Xenopus tropicalis: one gene and its partners. The protein of the gene in region 4 purifies or fractionates together with the protein of the main gene of each other region. This does not show direct contact. Links are inferred from orthologs where the notes say so. Each region holds a gene or a part of one and is shown on either strand. Other genes may lie near its edges.

Region 1 (4,020 bases), about 92 Mb from region 4:
GAATAAAAAGTAACAATAACAATAAACTGGAGCCTCACAGAGCAATAGGGTTTGGCTGCCAGGGTCAGTTATACTGTTGCTAGGGCTCAAATTACCTTAGCAACCAGGGAGTGATTTGAATGAGAGGCGGGTATATGAATAGGGGAGGGGCTGAATAGAGAGATAAGGAATAAAAAGTAACAATAACAATAAAACTGGAGCCTCACAGAGCAATAGGGTTTGGCTGCCGGGGTCAGTTATACTGTTGCTAGGGCTCAAATTACCTTAGCAACCAGGGAGTGATTTGAATGAGAGGCGGGTATATAAATAGGGGAGGGGCTGAATAGAAAGATAAGGAATAAAAAGTAACAATAAAACTGGAGCCTCAAAGAGCAATAGGGTTTGGCTGCCGGGGTCAGTTATACTGTTGCTAGGGCTCAAATTACCTTAGCAACCAGGGAGTGATTTGAATGAGAGGCGGGTATATAAATAGGGGAGGGGCTGAATAGAAAGATAAGGAATAAAAAGTAACAATAACAATAAAACTGGAGCCTCACAGAGCAATAGGGTTTGGCTGCCGGGGTCAGTGACCCCCATTTGAAAGCTGCAAAGAGGCAGAAGAAGAATTTATTTAAAAACTATAAAGAAATAAATGGGAAACAGGATTGGGAGATTTAGTCCAAGACACTAAGTGCTAAGACTTTACTTTCCCTTTAATCTCTTTACCAAGATAGGGAATGAGCTGGGAACCCCAAGATGAACCCCATTTGACTTGTTATTCTCTAGTGTAGTTATATATGTTTATTTAACCTGCATCTGGGCAGAGAAACCCCAGAAATGGTGGCTGACCAATAACAGGCGCACTAGGGAGTAGTCACATGACAACAGGAGGCTAACGTCAGCTCCCCGGGCTTTGGCTGAGCATTCTGGGATCTGTAGTTTAGAGACTTCCGGACACCCCATTAGCCAATCGCATTACGCAGCCCCCCCGCACGGGCTATAAAGAAGCGGCGATATATCTGACACACACACTTTCCCAGGAGGCCTCAGCTGTCACAATGTGTTGACGTCACTTACTACGGCCCGACTATGACGCGGCTTATGCGCCCCACCAACCAGGCGCTTCCAGTCATGCTTTTCCCTCTCTCAACATGGCGCCGCCAGGACTTCCCGGGCGGAAGTGGCGTCGGAACGCATAGACTTCCGCTGCGCGGAGAAGGTGCGCAGTGCGAGAGAGAAGCGTGATGGCGTCTAATGCAGCGAAGCAGGTGGCGGCCGAGCAGGTACTGGGCATGGTGGGCATAATGGCTGCTGGGGGGTCTGCCCGGCCGGTACCCCCCCCCCCCAACCGGCCGTTTAAAGGGCAACTAAGCCCAAAGCCCTTTTTTCATTATGGCCATTCATTCCCTTATATAGACACATGTGCTATTATAAGCTCAGTGGGAACAGGCTTCCTTGGGCATTTACTCAGATTCATTCCCTATTGGGATCCCTGATAGCCTTCCCACAGCAGCCCAGGAGCAGCCGGCTCTTCTGCTTCCTAGAAACTGTTGCTAGCCAGCTTGGTAGCAGTGTTGCTATGGTACTGAGCTGTTAGTGATATCCCATAATCCCTCAGTTGGAAGGGGGTTCAACAATGGGACTGGGGCACCTTAGTGTTTTATTATTACAGAGAAAAGGGAATCATTTAACCATTAAATAAACCCAATAGGGCTGTTCTGCCCCAATAAGGGGTAATTATATCTTAGTTGGGATCAAGTACAGGTACTGTTTTATTATTACAGAGAAAAGGGAATCATTTAACCATTAAATAAACCCAATAGGGCTGTTCTGCCCCAATAAGGGGTAATTATATCTTAGTTGGGATCAAGTACAGGTACTGTTTTATTATTACAGAGAAAAGGGAATCATTTAACCATGAAATAAACCCAATAGGGCTGTTCTGCCCCCAATAAGGGGTAATTATATCTTAGTTGGGATCAAGTACAGGTACTGTTTTATTATTACAGAGAAAAGGGAATCATTTAACCATTAAATAAACCCAATAGGGCTGTTCTGCCCCAATAAGGGGTAATTATATCTTAGTTGGGATCAAGTACAGGTACTGTTTTATTATTACAGAGAAAAGGGAATCATTTAACCATGAAATAAACCCAATAGGGCTGTTCTGCCCCAATAAGGGGTAATTATATCTTAGTTGGGATCAAGTACAGGTACTGTTTTATTATTACAGAGAAAAGGGAATCATTTAACCATTAAATAAACCCAATAGGGCTGTTCTGCCCCCAATAAGGGGTAATTATATCTTAGTTGGGATCAAGTACAGGTACTGTTTTATTATTACAGAGAAAAGGGAATCATTTAACCATTAAATAAACCCAATAGGGCTGTTCTGCCCCCAATAAGGGGTAATTATATCTAAGTTGGGATCAAGTACAGGTACTGTTTTATTATTACAGAGAAAAGGGAATTGTTTAACCATTAAATAAACCCAATAGGGCTGTTCTGCCCCAATAAGGGGTAATTATATCTTAGTTGGGATCAAGTACAGGTACTGTTTTATTATTACAGAGAAAAGGGAATCATTTAACCATGAAATAAACCCAATAGGGCTGTTCTGCCCCCAATAAGGGGTAATTATATCTTAGTTGGGATCAAGTACAGGTACTGTTTTATTATTACAGAGAAAAGGGAAATAACTTTTTAACGTGATTAAAAAAGAAGTCTATGGAACATTATGGATAAAGGGTTTCTGGATATTGGACCCCATAGGCCCCTGTAAGAAGATGAGCCAATGCTGGGCTGATCTGTTTGCCCACATTGTTTAAGAGTTGCCATTAAAGGGAAAGTTAAGCCAAATACCCTTGTTTAATATGTACGTTCTGTGTTTGTTGCTACAGGTGGTGGCTGGATTTAATCGCCTGCGCCAGGAGCAGCGAGGTCTCGCGTCCAAGGCAGCGGAACTGGAGATGGAGCTTAACGAACACACGTGAGTCTCATTAGCAAACAGGTCGTTCAGCAATGAAGAATCCTTCAATGTGATTCTCCCCGAGGGTCGTTATTCCTCTCTGTTGCACGCTACATTTGTTCTGTAGTCGGAACCAGTGCAGATCTCCCTAACTAACTGACAGTCGTCTCCCTCGCTCCGCAGGTTGGTTATCGACACCCTGAAGGAAGTGGAGCAGGGCAGGAAGTGTTTCCGGATGGTCGGGGGGGTACTGGTGGAACGCACCGTGAAGGAAGTGCTTCCGGCTTTGGAGAATAATAAAGAGCAGGTAAGGCTCTGCCTTGTGGGCACCTAATTAAAGGGCATATTAACCTTTATTGGGGGCAGAACAGCCCTATTGGGTTTATTTAATGGTTAAATGATTCCCTTTTCTCTGTAATAATAAAACAGTACCTGTACTTGATCCCAACTAAGATATAATTACCCCTTATTGGGGCAGAACAGTCCTATTGGGTTTATTTAATGGTTAAATGATTCCCTTTTCTCTGTAATAATAAAACAGTACCTGTACTTGATCCCAACTAAGATATAATTACCCCTTATTGGGGGCAGAACAGCCCTATTGGGTTTATTTCATGGTTAAATGATTCCCTTTTCTCTGTAATAATAAAACAGTACCTGTACTTGATCCCAACTAAGATATAATTACCCCTTATTGGGGCAGAACAGCCCTATTGGGTTTAATGGTTAAATGATTCCCTTTTCTCTGTAATAATAAAACAGTACCTGTACTTGATCCCAACTAAGATATAATTACCCCTTATTGGGGCAGAACAGCCCTATTGGGTTTATTTCATGGTTAAATGATTCCCTTTTCTCTGTAATAATAAAACAGTACCTGTACTTGATCCCAACTAAGATATAATTACCCCTTATTGGGGCAGAACAGCCCTATTGGGTTTATTTCATGGTTAAATGATTCCCTTTTCTCTGTAATAATAAAACAGTACCTGTACTTGATCCCAACTAAGATATAATTACCCCTTATTGGGGGCAGAACAGCCCTATTGGGTTTATTTAATGGTTAAATGATT
Region 2 (4,126 bases), on a different chromosome or scaffold from region 4:
ATAAACTGATGCTACAGGGCTAATTATTCAATTTTGATGCAATTGCCCTGGTTTCAGATCTGTCATGTAATGTAAATGAATTACTAATCAGCCTTTCACTGTTACATTTATATTCTGTATATACAGTATATTGTGAGTGGGTCCCTAAGCTCAAGTAAGTGACTGCAACACAGAGCATGTGCAGGGAATCAGCAGAAAAGAAGATGGGGGGGGGGCTACTGGAGGGCATCTTTGGGGGCACAGATCTTCCCTGCAAAAGGGCTGTTTGTGCCTTGGGCTGGTACAGAAACCCATAACATAATTCACAAAATTTCAGCCCTACTTCTTTGTTAAAAAGTGTGCACAAAAGAAATTATTTGTGTACCCTGCCAAGAAGAAATTGGTTTAAGGGCACTGCTGTATGGGGCAGATTCTGCAGTTAACTTGCAGGCCGAGAATCTGCTGTGTGGCAGTGCCCTAAAAATCCCACTGGCATGTTGATGAGGCCTACATGGGTGCCAATTATGTTTATGGCCCTAGGGAAAAAGTGGCTGTTTAGTTCAAAACTAGACAGGTGTCAACCCCCAAGTGCACTGACAAGTGATTCCTGTGTTAGTCCATTCAGTGGTCATCTTTAGTGTTTTACCAGCTGCTAGGGCTGTCCAGTGCAGCCGTAAGCACCAGACTTCTGACCTCGCCCCCCTCGTATACAGCTACACTTTTTTTCTTTTTAATATAGGCACCCCTAGCGCTGCCCTACATAAATATGGCCCATGCACCCATGAGCTAAATCATGCACAGGGGATCTTGTCTGAGCAAGATCACCTTCAGGCTGGGCTTTTAGAACTATCTCCCAAAATAAGAAATATTTCTTTAACGTTGCCCCATTTTCAGCCATGATTTCAATTTATGGCGTTTGTAACTGCTTACAAAATACAGTCTAATTCAAGATTCCAGAAACATATGGGATAAACAGTCTAGAAACTCATAACAATCCTATTGGGTGCGAATCGAATTACAACCCTTCCCCATATATTTCTACATATAACTCCCCAGCCACTGTGTCACTGCCGGTTTAACACGTTGTGTGTAAATCACGCACACATATTTGTTTATATGTTACATCACACGTTACACCCTTGGTTCACTCTACACAAAACATAACTTCTGTGGCAAAACAAACTACTAGCAACCATGGCTCAAATATCTTTAAACAGTAAGAGCTCTCGCTGCTAAGCCACAACTCAACCAATCCTCCAGCAACTATACGCTGGGCGTTTCCCAAGAACGCCCACCAATGCGCCCAGCTTCACCTTAGCAGCTGCCAATTGGAATTGCCAGTAAAGCACCAAGAGCCAATCACAAGGCTGCTTGCGATGACGGCGGTATAGCGTATGGTTTCCTCGCCGCCGCGTTGCGCATGTGCCCGGCTTTAATATGGCTACCCCTGTGGATCTAGAGCTGAAGAAGGTAATAATAATTGTATTTCATTTATACTAATGATTTTTATCATGTACGTGTTTTCATGTAAGTGTATGTTTATATAAGAATTCAGATGCTGGTGAATTCACGGTGCCTGCAGGATGAATGTGCTTTTGGCTGGAGTGCGGCCAGGCAGCTAGTGCATACGCTCGGTGGAATGCGAATGTAGTCGTTTTTGTATTTCTAGTAGGGAACTGTATTTGTAGTAAAGAATTTTGATATCATTTGATTTGTGTGTGTGTATATATATATATATATATATATATATATATATATATATATATATATATATATATATATATATACATATATATACATATACATATACATATACATACACACACATACATACATACATACATACTCACACTCTATAAACCCATAGTTCTATAAACGAACACTTGTTTTTTTCCAAATACATAAAGAAGGGAAATTTAATAAAGTATATTTACTATTAATGTAAGATTCATCCTTTTGGAAGGCACTATCTCCCAGTGCATTGTTTATTTGCAATTAAAACAGTCTTTAGAACGCAAAAACATTGCTGTTAAATCTTTGCTTACACCTAAAATTTGGGGGCTTAAGTGTTTAGTAAGATTGGAGATAAATATCACTGGTGATGTTGCCCATAGCAACCAATCAGATATTTGATTTTCATTTCTAACTTGTAGGTGACTGTTCAAATCTAATTCCTGATTGGTTGCTATGGGCAACATAGCCAGTGATATTTATCTCCAATCTTACTAAACATGCCCCTGTGTCCTACATCTGTGGTTTGCTTGACAGACTTTTTCAGTTCAAGCCCACCTTGGAGCCCAGTTAGTTCATAACAAGGTGTATGGAAATGTTGTATCAGCTATTCAGGAAGGGCTCCCGGAATACCCATTTTCACACCAAATTTCTCTCTAACTGAGCTTCTCGCTGGGTTTTTAGAAAAATAGGCCCTCAAGTGGGCCATACAGGGGCCCATTCAGACCAAGTTGACAACATATCAGCCTGTTTATGAGTAATGTGAGACTGCTTGACTGACATTTGCAAAGGATGCACTTTTACAAGCAGAGTAGTTTAAAAACTGGATAGTTTCTAAAATATTAAAAATATTACCTGCTTACACAATCTTGGGTGAAACTCAGATGTAGAGATTGGCAGTGGCTAGAAAGCATTAGCGAGGACAGCACTTAGATACAAATTGTTTAAAACCATGTTTTGTATTGCAGGCTTTCACAGAGCTTCAAGCCAAAGTTATTGATACCCAGCAGAAAGTTAAACTTGCAGATCTACAAATTGAGCAGCTAAATAGAACAAAGAAGCATGCATATCTTACCAATGCAGAAATTATGAACCTGTCTGATTCAACGCCTATGTATGAAGGAGTAGGAAGAATGTAAGTAATGCTGTTTTGCTTTAATCATACAGTCATGCATTAACTTGTCTTTTTAAGTGTAAATTGTAAAGAAAAGTAGACCTTCGGCCCACTCTCCCCTTCTCTGTTCACTCAATTTCTTTAATCTCTTAATTACGCAGTTTTACATAATATTATCTATCCTTTCCTCCATTTCTTCAGTTTCTTTTCATATAGGATTGAGTAATGGCCATGGTATACGCATACAAGGCAAATGGTTGGGTGAGCAGGAGGGCCCACTGACACTTGGGCCACCGGGAGTTTTCCTTGTATCCTGGTGGGCCAGTCAGACACTGCACAGACCTACCGATCCCTTCGAGGGCCAAAAGACAGAAAAAATACAAGGGACCATATACTCTATGGATGCCTTTCTGTTGTTCCTTGTATTCATAGGGAATGAAGGGAACAGTTCCTCATCTTCCATACACAGGCTGTAATGGGTTCTTAGCAGGTTACATATTTATACCCACCCAAATGACAAACCAATCAAAGTACATGGATATAGGCTGCCACGCACATACTGAAAATCGTTAACTGTGTTCCTATGTAATCCCCATTTGACTGTGCCAATGACTGTATTTATAGACTGGCTATTGTTAAAAACCAAGAACTTTTTGGTTTTCTTACATAACCATTGCTGTGGAGAATAGAAAGTACTTATTCATAGGCGAATGATTCAATATTAACACATTTCTAAAGGTGGAAAGCATTAAAGGCCAAAAAAAATGCATTAGTATTTCAGATGCTTTAAATGTTCCGTATGCCTTTAGAACAGAAAGTCTACATTTAGGAGGGCGTTATAGTCACTAGTATAAGTGGAACTTTATAGTTTAGGTAATCCATTGATCTCAGGGAACATGCTTATCTGCAGCTGGGAAGTCCATATATATTAAAATTTAGTTGAATGCGCTTGAATGCACTTGTGCAATAGCCCTCTACAGAGGGTTCTGAACAGCAACTTCATTGGAATAGGCCATACATAGGCAGATTTAAGTCAAGCACCAGCCTAGGGCACAGAACTCTTTTGTTTGTCTGTTTCCCCTTACTTCGGGCCCCAGTTGACTGGGAGAACTGCCAGAAGTCAGAGAGAGCAGCCGCTATTTTGCACTCGCTCGGGGGGGGAGTGGGTGCAGTATAGCCGTCGCTTACTCTTCCAGTCAGTGTGCGCTCGTTACAGGAGGGGTGGGCACGGAGCAGTGCGAGCTGGGGGGGGGGGGGGGCAAAGTTCTAAATTCGCCTGTCATTGATTTAAGCTCCTCAGTC
Region 3 (4,285 bases), on a different chromosome or scaffold from region 4:
GTAGATGTAGCTGCAGCAAAGTACTTTATTTCCCATTGAGAGGGGTGTGAGTCTAGCAGGTGAAATGCTATCATGGTGCCTGTGGGGAGACCAAAGAATATCTCTGGCAGAAGTACTGGTGAAGAGAGCAGTATTATTAATAACATTTATTTATTAAGTGCCAACATATTCTACATATTCTACAATCAGTATTTTGAAGCATGTCAACTCTGAAAAGGAGATGCAAAAAGAAATGCAATGCTGCCCCCATGTGGAAGGCAGTTTAGAACATGTCCTATGAACTTTCACTGCAATAGATGCCTTTTAAGAAGAGGATTTAACACAAATTAATATGCTATGCAACATTCCAGTAACCCACAGATACTTCTAGGGTCATACCGAAGCCCATCAATAAAGCTAAGAAAGGTAACCTTAGACTGGCAGAAATACTTGTATTAAAAGCAGTCAAATCAATCCCGTAATGTTGGACAGCAACACAACCCCCATCAAAGCAATTACGAGAACATAAGCTTCTACATACTGTGCAACTTCAGTGGGTCTTAGCTCTTCAAGATTAATAATCAAGAGGATCACTGTTCTATAGCGTTTGGAACAAATACCTAGACACATTTGTCAATGGGAAAACAACACAAACAATTAGCCCCATTCGGGTTTACTAAATGTTGGGTGGAAAACTCTCTTTTGGAATAACTAAATCCACCAACTAACCAAACAAATTCTGCTCCCTCCTCCTCACTTGCCTAAAGACCAAAAAGGCATTACTTTGTATTTATTTTTATGTATTTTTTAAGAAATGCAACACTGTCTGGGACTGATGACACTACAACAGCAAGTCAAGTTAAAGTATTTTTTTTGTGACTACATTTTGCATTGTCCTGATGACTTGCTTTTGCCTGTAGAACTTTAATGTGTACTATTTTCATGTATGAGCATTCATATTATGGCTAATCTTTCTTTGTACACAAGAATGTGTGATACATGACTGCAAAATGTAAATTTTTAGTGAATTTCAAAATTTCTTAAAAAACAGTGCTTAACCTACTGCATAGATTCTTAAAATATTATATTGTTATGGGGGGGTCTCTCTTCTTCCGTTTCCTACTGTTTGTTTCCTACTCTATATGTTCCTCTATTCTTTCTTCTCTATTGATTGTTGAAATACCATGTTACTGGTAGAAATGAGGTAGTTTAATGTAACAATAGCATTTTGTGTACTTTTGCACTTATTCCTCTCTTTGCAAAATAAGAAAAAGAAAATCTAAAAAAAATATATATATATTTCTGCGATTTGACTTATTTATAAATATCATGTTAGCAAGCGGACCATCTGCCAAGTACACGGTCCCTTACATGTTAGTACGCATGCGTCGCAGCCTCCGGACTATCATAGAGCGCTAGCCGTGCGTACAGAGCGCCAAACAATATACGGTTTCCCAGCTAGACAGTCACTATAGTAATGTAGTAGGAAGGCGGGGTTCTTCCTCTCTCAAGATGGCGCAGACAGTGAACATTACCGACTTGTCTCTGCCGCAGTTGGAGGGATTGAAAAGTCAGTTGGACCAGGTATCTTAGTTAATCTTACATTGCCGTCTTAAATTGGGGATGCCTCTGTGTTGGTTTTTCCCCACGACTAAACGTAGTGTCCCACAACTGGCTTGGATGAGTTCTGGCCACCCCGTGGCTGTGGATCCCTTACTCCCAGAGTCCCACTGCAGCTTTTGCTGTCCCGCCCCAGCCTGGTGTTGCTCATACTCCGGGGTTACAGGGTTAGTAAGGCCTTCCTTATGTGCCTTTTCCTTTCATAGGAAGTGGAGTTCCTGTCCTCCTCCATCGCTCAGCTAAAGGTGGTTCAGACCAAGTATGTGGAGGCAAAGGAGTGCCTGAGTGTGCTGAACAAAAGCAATGAAGGTGAGTGACAGCGGCAGCCAGTTAGTAGGGTGTGTCAGTCGGCTTAGTTCCTCTCTCTAATAACCTGTATGTGTTTATCTGACAGGGAAGCAACTGCTTGTTCCCCTGACCAGCTCTGTATCCTTTTCATCACTATATTATGAAAAAGCCATATGGTGGCAAAACCAGTGAGCTGCTTCCAGTTTTAAAGTATGTTCTCTTCTATTTGTTTATTATATTATTAATGTAAGGAACGTTGTAAGTCTGTAGCAAGCTAAGTGTCAAAAATCTACTAAACAGTAATGCATTTTTATCCAAAGTTTAAACACTAAATGGCTAAACTGCTTAGGTGACTGCTTAAAAGAGTGTGATGATGGTTGTTATAGTGTAGGAAAAACATGTCAAGAATAGCAGCACGGTGTGTTTTTCCTGGGTACTTGGACAAAAATGTACTGTATACAGTCAGTCAGGCTATACAAAATATAGACCAATTGAAAAGTTGCTAATATTATAGGCCATTGTACAATGTACCAAAAGTTATCTTAAAGGTGAACTCCCCTTTTAATGAGCAAAAAAAAATAGAAAACCAGTATTTGCACAACAGTGTTTAAAGAAGAACAGTAGGTGTGTGGGTTTTTTCCCCCTTAACCTTTCATGTAGATGTATGTGCCTGGGACTCTTAATGATGTGTCAAATATACTGATCGATGTGGGTACTGGATATTATGTGGAAAAGGTGAGCTACTTTTTTGTTTGTTTTTTAGCTTAAGGTGTGACTGTGATGAGCAACCTACTGTTAACATTTTCTTGCGCAAAAGTTTGTTAGTATATTTCTAACTATACATAACACATTATTGCTACTCTTCAAACCATCTGGTGTGACAAACAGATTTAATTTTTATTGGTTGAATTAAAAGCAACTGGTTTATTTTTATTTTTTAAAATTTAGCGTGTTCTGGAACATGCACAGGTTATTCTCGCAGTTAAGATTGGCAGAACTTGTGCAAGTTTTGCCCAAGAGACCATTGGCTAGACCAGTAGGAAAGCGAAAAGCAGCAATAGGGAAATTTGACTACTTGTGTAAAGCTGCTGTACATATGCATAAGCCCTGTATAGGTAAATAATAATCCACACTTGCTTACTTAGTTGCCCTTTAATATCATACCACAATACATTCACAACAATGTAGCCATATCACTTCTAGAGGTAATTTGGTGCTGATATCACTCAGAGAAATTTACCTCTAGAAGTGATGGCACTTATTATAACTGAAAAAATAACTTGAAGCACTTATATTTATTATATATTATATATATTAGTGAACCTGGGCCTATGTGCTTTTACCCCAGAAAAAGTATTTTTTTGTTAAACTGTCTGCTTGCAAAGTGGGAGACTTAGGCAGCTGCAGTTCTCTGCAAGGAATTTGTTAGGCCTACAGCAGAGGATGTTAAGCTAAGCAATTTAACAGCAGTGTGCTTTGTAACCACTATATATATATATATATATATATTATATAATATATACATATTTTGGTTTCAGAGTACCAAGATAAGATGTTATTTTATTTTTAAAGGTGGCCATACATGTAGCAATTCCGATCTTTCCTGCGACCATGAGTTGCAGGAAAGATCGTTCGTTTCCCCCACTGACATTCAGAGTCATCGGATGTGAAGGTAGAAACAATAGGAATTCTACCTCCACCTGCCGGTTCAGCCCTGAACGCAGGTTTTGTTCGGGCGCCTTCAATGGCGCCCAGTCAAAATCTTTTAACCCGGCTGAGCGATGAGACAACCGATATCCGCAGCCTTTGCAATAACGGTCATCTTGTCGATCTGCCATACACGCACCAAATATCATACAAAACGAGGTTTTGTACAGTATCATCAGTGCGTGTATGGCCATCTTTACTCAGTCAAAATATAATGAATGCAGTGCACTTTAAGCTGACAGGATCTGTAGGTATCTGTTTCTGATAAATGTATCACTGGGCACTTGTAGTGTAAGTTTTTAATATAAGGAGATTCATGAATTCGGAAAGATATATGGTATGATTAAAGCTTAGTTAATTTTGAAGGCATATTGTGATTATTTGCCTTTACAGGGCACATATACCCACTGGTATAACTTAGGGCTGAACTTCACATGAGATTTTGTAGAATGGTGTTGGTTTGACAGATCGCATCCTGTCGAATGTAGTTGCATGGTTAAAAAATAATGGGACTGATAGAAAAATCTGATGTGTAAACTATATGAAAGCTTTGCCATCAGATGCAATGTGCCTTTTGGTAGTCGACTTTGCCTGCTGTGTCTTCATACAACCAGACAAAATCTCATAGTGTCTGAAAGAGATTTTTTCTCATTAAAATACATGTCTGATATAGACACGGAAACAGGATCAT
Region 4 (4,001 bases):
ATAAAGGGATCATATAATAACCTTTCTAATGTTTTATTTACCAGTAGGTCCTTCCAACGGACACGAGGGCACCCACTTCGTTTAGAAGAAGGGAGGTTCCATTTAAATATTCGGAAAGGATTTTTTACTGTGAGAGCTGTGAAGTTCTGGAATTCCCTCCCCAAATCAGTTGTGCTGGCTGATACATTATATAACTTTAAGAAGGGGCTGGATGGATTCTTAGCAAGTGAGGGAATACAGGGTTATGGGGGATAGCTCTCAGTACTAGATGATCCAGGGACTGGTCCGATTGCCATCTTGGAGTCAGGAAGGAATTTTTTCCCCTCTGCGGCAAATTAGAGAGGCTTCAGATGGGGTTTTTTGCCTTCCTCAGATGGGGTTTTTTGCCTGTGCTAAAACACATGTAGAGACAATTATTAGTAAATGATCAGCATTGTCTATTTCTGTAGCTGCTACTAGTAGCTCTGTGTGTCTTCGCCTTAGTACTGGGGCAGAGGTCCTCTCTCCACCAGATCAGTGATGTGGATTTGGGCTCTACACCCTGGTGCAACAGTTTAGTTTAACCACATCCTCACTCTGTGTTCACCTGTGACCTGTTGTCTGACTCAAACACACATACATTTGAATTTCTGCTGACGAGTCTGCCAATTGGATAAGCAACACACATTTTACTACCTTGAGGCACAGTTTACTTGCTCTTTAGGACCCGACTGCAACTTTATTTCCAGTATTTTCAATATCATATTGGTTTGTTTATGTAAAGCTAATGTGCCTGAGATGACCACAACACATAAAAAATACGACAGGGAAAGCGAATGGCCAGCAGGCATAAAGCAGACGCATGCAGCATGGGGTAATCAGAGGACAATACTAAATTTCTCTCAAGAAAATGGTTGTTTTTAGTTTTCTTTTTTTACAATGGATATTTATCGGAATGTTGCGTTTCTACATTTTTCACTGGGAGTGCTGCCCAAAAGTGTTTGACCCAGTAGCTGCTAGTTACGCTAGTGCCAGCATGCTACCTCGGTTAGAATCAGAGGAAGCACTGTCAGGCCTTTGCCTCCCCAGTCTGCGCACAATTAACCCACAAGACCAAACTAGGAGATCATCTCTCGCTGTCAGAGCGCAGCAGCCTATCAGTACCTTTGGGGGCGTGGCCATTCTGGAAGCGAACCCATAGCATTAAAACGTGTTGACGCAAGGTACGCACTGCTTCCAAGATGGCGGTGACCAGTGAGGGAGCCGGTGTTGCTGGACTGAAACGGACTCATTTGGGAATTCCGGAGGCAGTGTTTGTGGTAAGGGCTAAAAGAGCAATTAACTGGTGCCAAGGCTTGTGCTACAAAACGACTTGTGTGTTGTCCCTGCTGGTAGCGTTATAGTGTTTGTGTGAGTGTAGGCCAGCTCTGGGCCACTGTCCGCATGGTTATCTAGGCGTGTTCCTTTCACAAAGCTTGACTCTATATGGAGCCTGGTTACTGCGTTACTATGCCCGACCTGTGACATGCGTAACTACATTTGTTGGCAGATTTCTTTTGCGGGCCGTTTCTATGGGCTCCGTGCCTGTGAGTTGCACACCTTCATTTCTTTAGGTTATAGAGTGGTTTCACTATGGTATAATTGGCCCTAGTATAGTTCTATGTATGTGTATTTTTATAGCACTACTTTCAAGTGCAGGGCTAAACAGTAAATTCCGAGACCAGAAGTGGAGCAATACAGTTTATAGAAAAGAAAGAAATAATGCAGTTATATGTAAGGCCAGGGATGCTGTCTGACATTGCAGGGACCAATATTCAGGGCTGGCCTTTTGGACCTATTGGGCCCTGCACCAGTGGGAATAAGTATATAAAGCAGTTGGTGAGCAACATCCAAGGGGTTGGGGAGCAACATGTTGCTCAGGAGCCACTGGTTGGGGATCACTGCCATAGACTGTCACTATGTAGTGGGCTGGTGGGGGCTGTTTGGGCCTCTGTGTCCTAGAAATGCCAGGGCCTATTTTGAATCCCAGTACAGTCCTGGTCATAAGACCCCCTAGAACCAATATAATGACCAATATGCATTGATATACCAAAGTATGTGGCATCCACGAAGAGTCTTTCACTGTGTAGTGTGTGCTTGAGGGGCCAATAATCACTCAAACTGTATATAGAATGCTTGGTGTTTCAGTGCCTAGTGCTTGGGGGCCACAGTGTGCCATGATTTGTTGGGGGCCAATGTAACGAGAAAGAAAGGTGATAGGGCAGGGTTACATCATCAGTTACATGGACAGAGAGAAAGAGAATCTTGGAATCTTGTGCCAGCTGGCAACACCTTGTGTAGGGGGCCTGCCAAAATGGTCTTAATTGGGTCCTGTTTATAAAACCGACCCTGCCAATACAACTAAGTTAGTAGGGTTCCACCCCTTCCCCCAAAGGGGCCTGGGTCCTTAGCTGTCTGCCTAACCAAGAAGTGGTTTAAAAATAAATAAAAACTCATCTATATAAGTAATGTCTTGTCCATGCTCTAGATATCCCTGGGCTATGCCGTTATTTAACATAACGTCCCTGGCCCTCTTTGTTGCTCTGTTGCATTTACTTCTCACTTTTGTGTTTCCGAGCCGCCATCATGACAAGGCCCTTAGTGTACCCCTTATTTAGCATTGAGACAAAAGGAAGAGGGTCTCTGTGCCCTAGAGCTTACTGTTTAAATGTGGGAGATAAATTGAACAAAATGTGTTATTCTAGCTCTCAGTATAAATATAAACTTATCAATGTTCTTCCTGTAAATTATAGAAAGATTGGCAAAGGATTATTTTTGTATGGTGCACATACAGGTCTGTATAGGAAATCTTCTTATCAATGAGTGACACCAACTGTGCACTGTACAAATTAGTGGACATATTATCATGATATGTTTGTAAAACAGGGTCTATCAAAATAATGTAATATGCCCGCAGTCTATGGAGACCATAAGCAGGGACTACAAATATTTAGCCGGCTGCTAATAGTTAGATAATCTTCTAGAAAATCGGTAAGTAAAAGGGTTATCCACAAGTAGTGGTATAGGACAGAGACTGTGCCCCAGAACAGATGGCCCATACCTTGTTTAAAGACTGTTTTGGATTGCAGTTTTATCATTGCACTACTGGTGGTCAATTATAAGGAGCCTATATGTGATGCTGAAATGTTTGCTTTCAATAGGAAGATGTAGATGCTTTTATGAAGAAACCTGGAAATGAGACAGCAGATGCAGTACTCAAGAAACTGGATGAGCAGTATCAGAAATATAAATTTATGGAACTTAATTTGACCCAGAAAAAAAGAAGGTATGTTGGTGGCTTGCTCTTTCTAATATGCCAGTATCATTTTGTATAAGAAACCTAACAATTTATTTTGTCTTTTTCAGGCTAAAGAGCCAGATTCCAGAAATTAAGCAGACCTTAGAAATTTTAAAACACATGCAGAAGAAAAAGGTAATGCATTAAAAGCCAAAGAACAGCTTTTAATTTATTGCATATGGTTGATGCATATTTTTCCACATTAAGTAGCTCTGCACACTAAAATTTCTCTCATTACCTTCAGAAGTACAGTGGACTTAAAAGGGTTGTTCACTTTTGAGTTAACTTTTATCATGACGTAGAGAGTAATATTCTGAAACAACTTGCAATTGGTCTTTATTTTTTATTTGTATTTTTATTCCACTTTCTATATATTAGTGTGCCCAATAATGCTGATCTTTATAGCTTTTAAGCAACTGGTCATGTTCTCCTGCCTCCTTACATGTGACCCCTTGCTTCCCTTCCCTGTACACTTGACTTGAGTGGGTAATTTGCAGTTCAGCTTTACAGGTTGCTCTTCATATTGCCTAATTCTTTCCTCCTTTTCTGCATATTGCTCTACAGTAGATTCTCTCTGACAATGTTTCTGAATAGTTTTTAATTGTGTAAAAAACTTTGTGTTTATTGATGCACGGTTGGTGGGTGATTACTGCCCAAACATTGATGTCATCGGCTGCACTTGGGC
Region 5 (2,316 bases), about 21 Mb from region 4:
CTTTTACCAGTGCAGGGAATATTACATAATATAATATTCACTTGCTTTGGTGTTACTGTACCTTTAACAACACAACTGATATTTAACATGACTGAATTGGTAAATGTTTTCCCTGGACTGGTCATAATTTTTTCATATTTAACAGTTTCTATATATTTGTGTGTGCTGACAGTCTAAGTATGTTATTTATAAACAGATGGCGGAACAGTTACAAGAGAAGTTACAATCCGAGATCAACAAATACCAACAGCTCCAGAAAGGTACGTATTATACTTCTATATCATCTCTCTCGTCTCTTGTTGGCTCTGTGCCTTTGTGCAGCAGATAATAATCATTCGTTTCTTAATTGATAAATGCATCACAATGATAGTTCTAATAGTGATGTTACTGATGTGCATGTGGAACAGAAGTAATTTGGTTGCTCTTTTGCTGAAGTATAAGAATTTTTTGGAGGGGAAAGAATATCTTTGAGATATGCGGTTTCTGTCTTAAGCAGGTGTTGAGCTGGCTCCCCTGCACAGGCCCAGAGTCTGGGGGATGGATGGCTTGGAGGTCAGTTAAAGGAGACATATTGGATAAATGGAAAAAACACTAATTTTGTAGGCAATTATGAATACTATATGGTGCTGGTTTCCCTTTGGGCTAAATTTGAATACTGTCTGCAAAAATGGCCCCTTTATTGGAGCTTCCTATCCTCTCTGTCAATGTTGACGGGTGGGCGTGTCCTAAAAGTCCCTACCAGAAGCACAGTAGGAGGGGGATAGCCAATCACAGCCCTGCAGTCATGCAAGCAAAGTCAGGCTTCAGTTCAATATCAGGTCAGCCTAGCTGGCAGGAGTGCCACTGGCTCCAGAGAATTCAGCCAGCAGGAAGTGGAACAGATGGGCGGGGTTAGTGGGGTTTGGGGGAATTTTCTCAATAAATCAGTCTGAAACACATCTTTTTTTAAGCACAATCCTTCTATTTCTAGAGGAGTATAATTCACTGGTACATTCTTAATTTTTATATGATATGTCTCGTTTAAGGTGAGATTTGGGGAGAATGTCAATTTGATATCATTGATACTGCTGGAAGCTCAGTCAGGAAAGTCAGTGTTACTTGAAATAAAACTTGCAAGATGTTTTTGGGCCCATGATTGAATGAAAGATACAGCAATATATTCATATATCTATAAGCTTGCTGTTAGCTAAGGAGGAACATTTGGAAAGTTCCAAAAGGTACACATATATAATAGGACCAGTAACAGCAAAAATCACTGTTTTAAATATAATTGAAATATAATGTACCCTGCACTGGTAGTGTTCAGAAATGATAATACAGTTTATATAAAAAATCTGCTGTCTTCCTACAGGGGCAATTTTTTTTTTATGTATGCTGGATGAACAGATATAAACTTTAAATGTTAAAAAAAATTATAAACTTTCACTTTTTGATGTTACTTGTCCTTGAATTTTTTTTTATAGCTTTTTGTGTTTTATTGGCTGGTATTATTCTGTCATGCTTCTCTTTCTTTAGAGATCAGCAATACTATGTCAGCCAGGCAGAAGCTTGAGGCTCAGTTGACTGAGAACAACATTGTCAAACAGGTGAGTTTGAGGTAGGGGGGAACATAGTTAGCAAATGAATGCCAATATGTATATGCAAGCACTTGTACAAGAGCAATATAAACTCGCCACATACCTCAGAGTTACATGACCCTTACAAAAGGACTCTGCATGCGTTCTTTTAATTATAAAGTAGGGATGCACCAAATACAGCATTTGGTTTAGGGTTTGGCCAAGATTCAGATCAGGCTAAACCGACGTGAACTGGCACATGCCTGGGTGAACTGAATGCAAATTCTTAAAATTGCGTGACTTTTTGTCATCCCACTGAGACAATACCAGTCTTTCCTAATTTAGCAAAGAAACACTTCTTGAGGGACCATAATCCAATTTGTGCAGACATCTGTAATGTACTTAAGTCAATCAGGTAACTTACAAGGGTAGGTGTGATACAGGTAATAAGCTTCAACTGATAATTTTCCTACAAGGGGAGCAAATGAGCAGGGACAAATGTATTAAATGTGTAAAAATGTGTTAATCCTAATGTTTACCTGGTCTGAATTCTACACATGAAAAATAGAAACAAAAATAATTTGTGTATATATTTAGTATAATTATTTTATTATTAATGCTAACTGCTTATTTATATTATTTGACTGCACCCATCACATACAGCATATTTATAGTTTAGAGAGAATACAGCCACATCAAGCAAAGTTATTGTTGGTGGAATCAGTTTTTGCTATTTGATATCTTACGCCTCCCCAAAAGC

What was found.
Region 1: the proteins of vbp1 (region 4) and pfdn2 fractionate together in Homo sapiens (co-fractionation; 8 studies listed by BioGRID and IntAct, counting the BioPlex papers as one, with this or other methods). This does not show direct contact. The link is inferred for Xenopus tropicalis from reciprocal best matches to the Homo sapiens genes VBP1 and PFDN2.
Region 2: the proteins of vbp1 (region 4) and pfdn1 purify together in Homo sapiens (affinity purification with mass spectrometry; 4 studies listed by BioGRID and IntAct, counting the BioPlex papers as one, with this or other methods). This does not show direct contact. The link is inferred for Xenopus tropicalis from reciprocal best matches to the Homo sapiens genes VBP1 and PFDN1.
Region 3: the proteins of vbp1 (region 4) and pfdn5 purify together in Homo sapiens (affinity purification with mass spectrometry; 7 studies listed by BioGRID and IntAct, counting the BioPlex papers as one, with this or other methods). This does not show direct contact. The link is inferred for Xenopus tropicalis from reciprocal best matches to the Homo sapiens genes VBP1 and PFDN5.
Region 5: the proteins of vbp1 (region 4) and pfdn6 purify together in Homo sapiens (affinity purification with mass spectrometry; 6 studies listed by BioGRID and IntAct, counting the BioPlex papers as one, with this or other methods). This does not show direct contact. The link is inferred for Xenopus tropicalis from reciprocal best matches to the Homo sapiens genes VBP1 and PFDN6.

What each region holds. Positions count from the first base shown.
Region 1 is NC_030684.2:143,080,146-143,084,165, reverse strand, and holds the start of pfdn2 (prefoldin subunit 2), read left to right. Parts: upstream 1-1,220; 5' UTR 1,221-1,223; coding exon 1,224-1,262; intron 1,263-2,879; coding exon 2,880-2,968; intron 2,969-3,130; coding exon 3,131-3,254; intron 3,255-4,020. UniProt on the Homo sapiens protein: Binds specifically to cytosolic chaperonin (c-CPN) and transfers target proteins to it. Binds to nascent polypeptide chain and promotes folding in an environment in which there are many competing pathways for nonnative proteins.
Region 2 is NC_030679.2:31,788,180-31,792,305, forward strand, and holds the start of pfdn1 (prefoldin subunit 1), read left to right. Parts: upstream 1-1,319; 5' UTR 1,320-1,416; coding exon 1,417-1,449; intron 1,450-2,678; coding exon 2,679-2,845; intron 2,846-4,126. UniProt on the Homo sapiens protein: Binds specifically to cytosolic chaperonin (c-CPN) and transfers target proteins to it. Binds to nascent polypeptide chain and promotes folding in an environment in which there are many competing pathways for nonnative proteins.
Region 3 is NC_030678.2:147,137,788-147,142,072, reverse strand, and holds the start of pfdn5 (prefoldin subunit 5), read left to right. Parts: upstream 1-1,470; 5' UTR 1,471-1,491; coding exon 1,492-1,563; intron 1,564-1,805; coding exon 1,806-1,908; intron 1,909-1,993; coding exon 1,994-2,025; intron 2,026-2,547; coding exon 2,548-2,622; intron 2,623-4,285. UniProt on the Homo sapiens protein: Binds specifically to cytosolic chaperonin (c-CPN) and transfers target proteins to it. Binds to nascent polypeptide chain and promotes folding in an environment in which there are many competing pathways for nonnative proteins.
Region 4 is NC_030684.2:50,630,687-50,634,687, forward strand, and holds the start of vbp1 (prefoldin subunit 3), read left to right. Parts: upstream 1-1,196; 5' UTR 1,197-1,220; coding exon 1,221-1,298; intron 1,299-3,179; coding exon 3,180-3,304; intron 3,305-3,384; coding exon 3,385-3,451; intron 3,452-4,001. UniProt on the Homo sapiens protein: Binds specifically to cytosolic chaperonin (c-CPN) and transfers target proteins to it. Binds to nascent polypeptide chain and promotes folding in an environment in which there are many competing pathways for nonnative proteins.
Region 5 is NC_030684.2:72,107,070-72,109,385, forward strand, and holds part of pfdn6 (prefoldin subunit 6), read left to right. Parts: intron 1-196; coding exon 197-260; intron 261-1,515; coding exon 1,516-1,586; intron 1,587-2,316. UniProt on the Homo sapiens protein: Binds specifically to cytosolic chaperonin (c-CPN) and transfers target proteins to it. Binds to nascent polypeptide chain and promotes folding in an environment in which there are many competing pathways for nonnative proteins.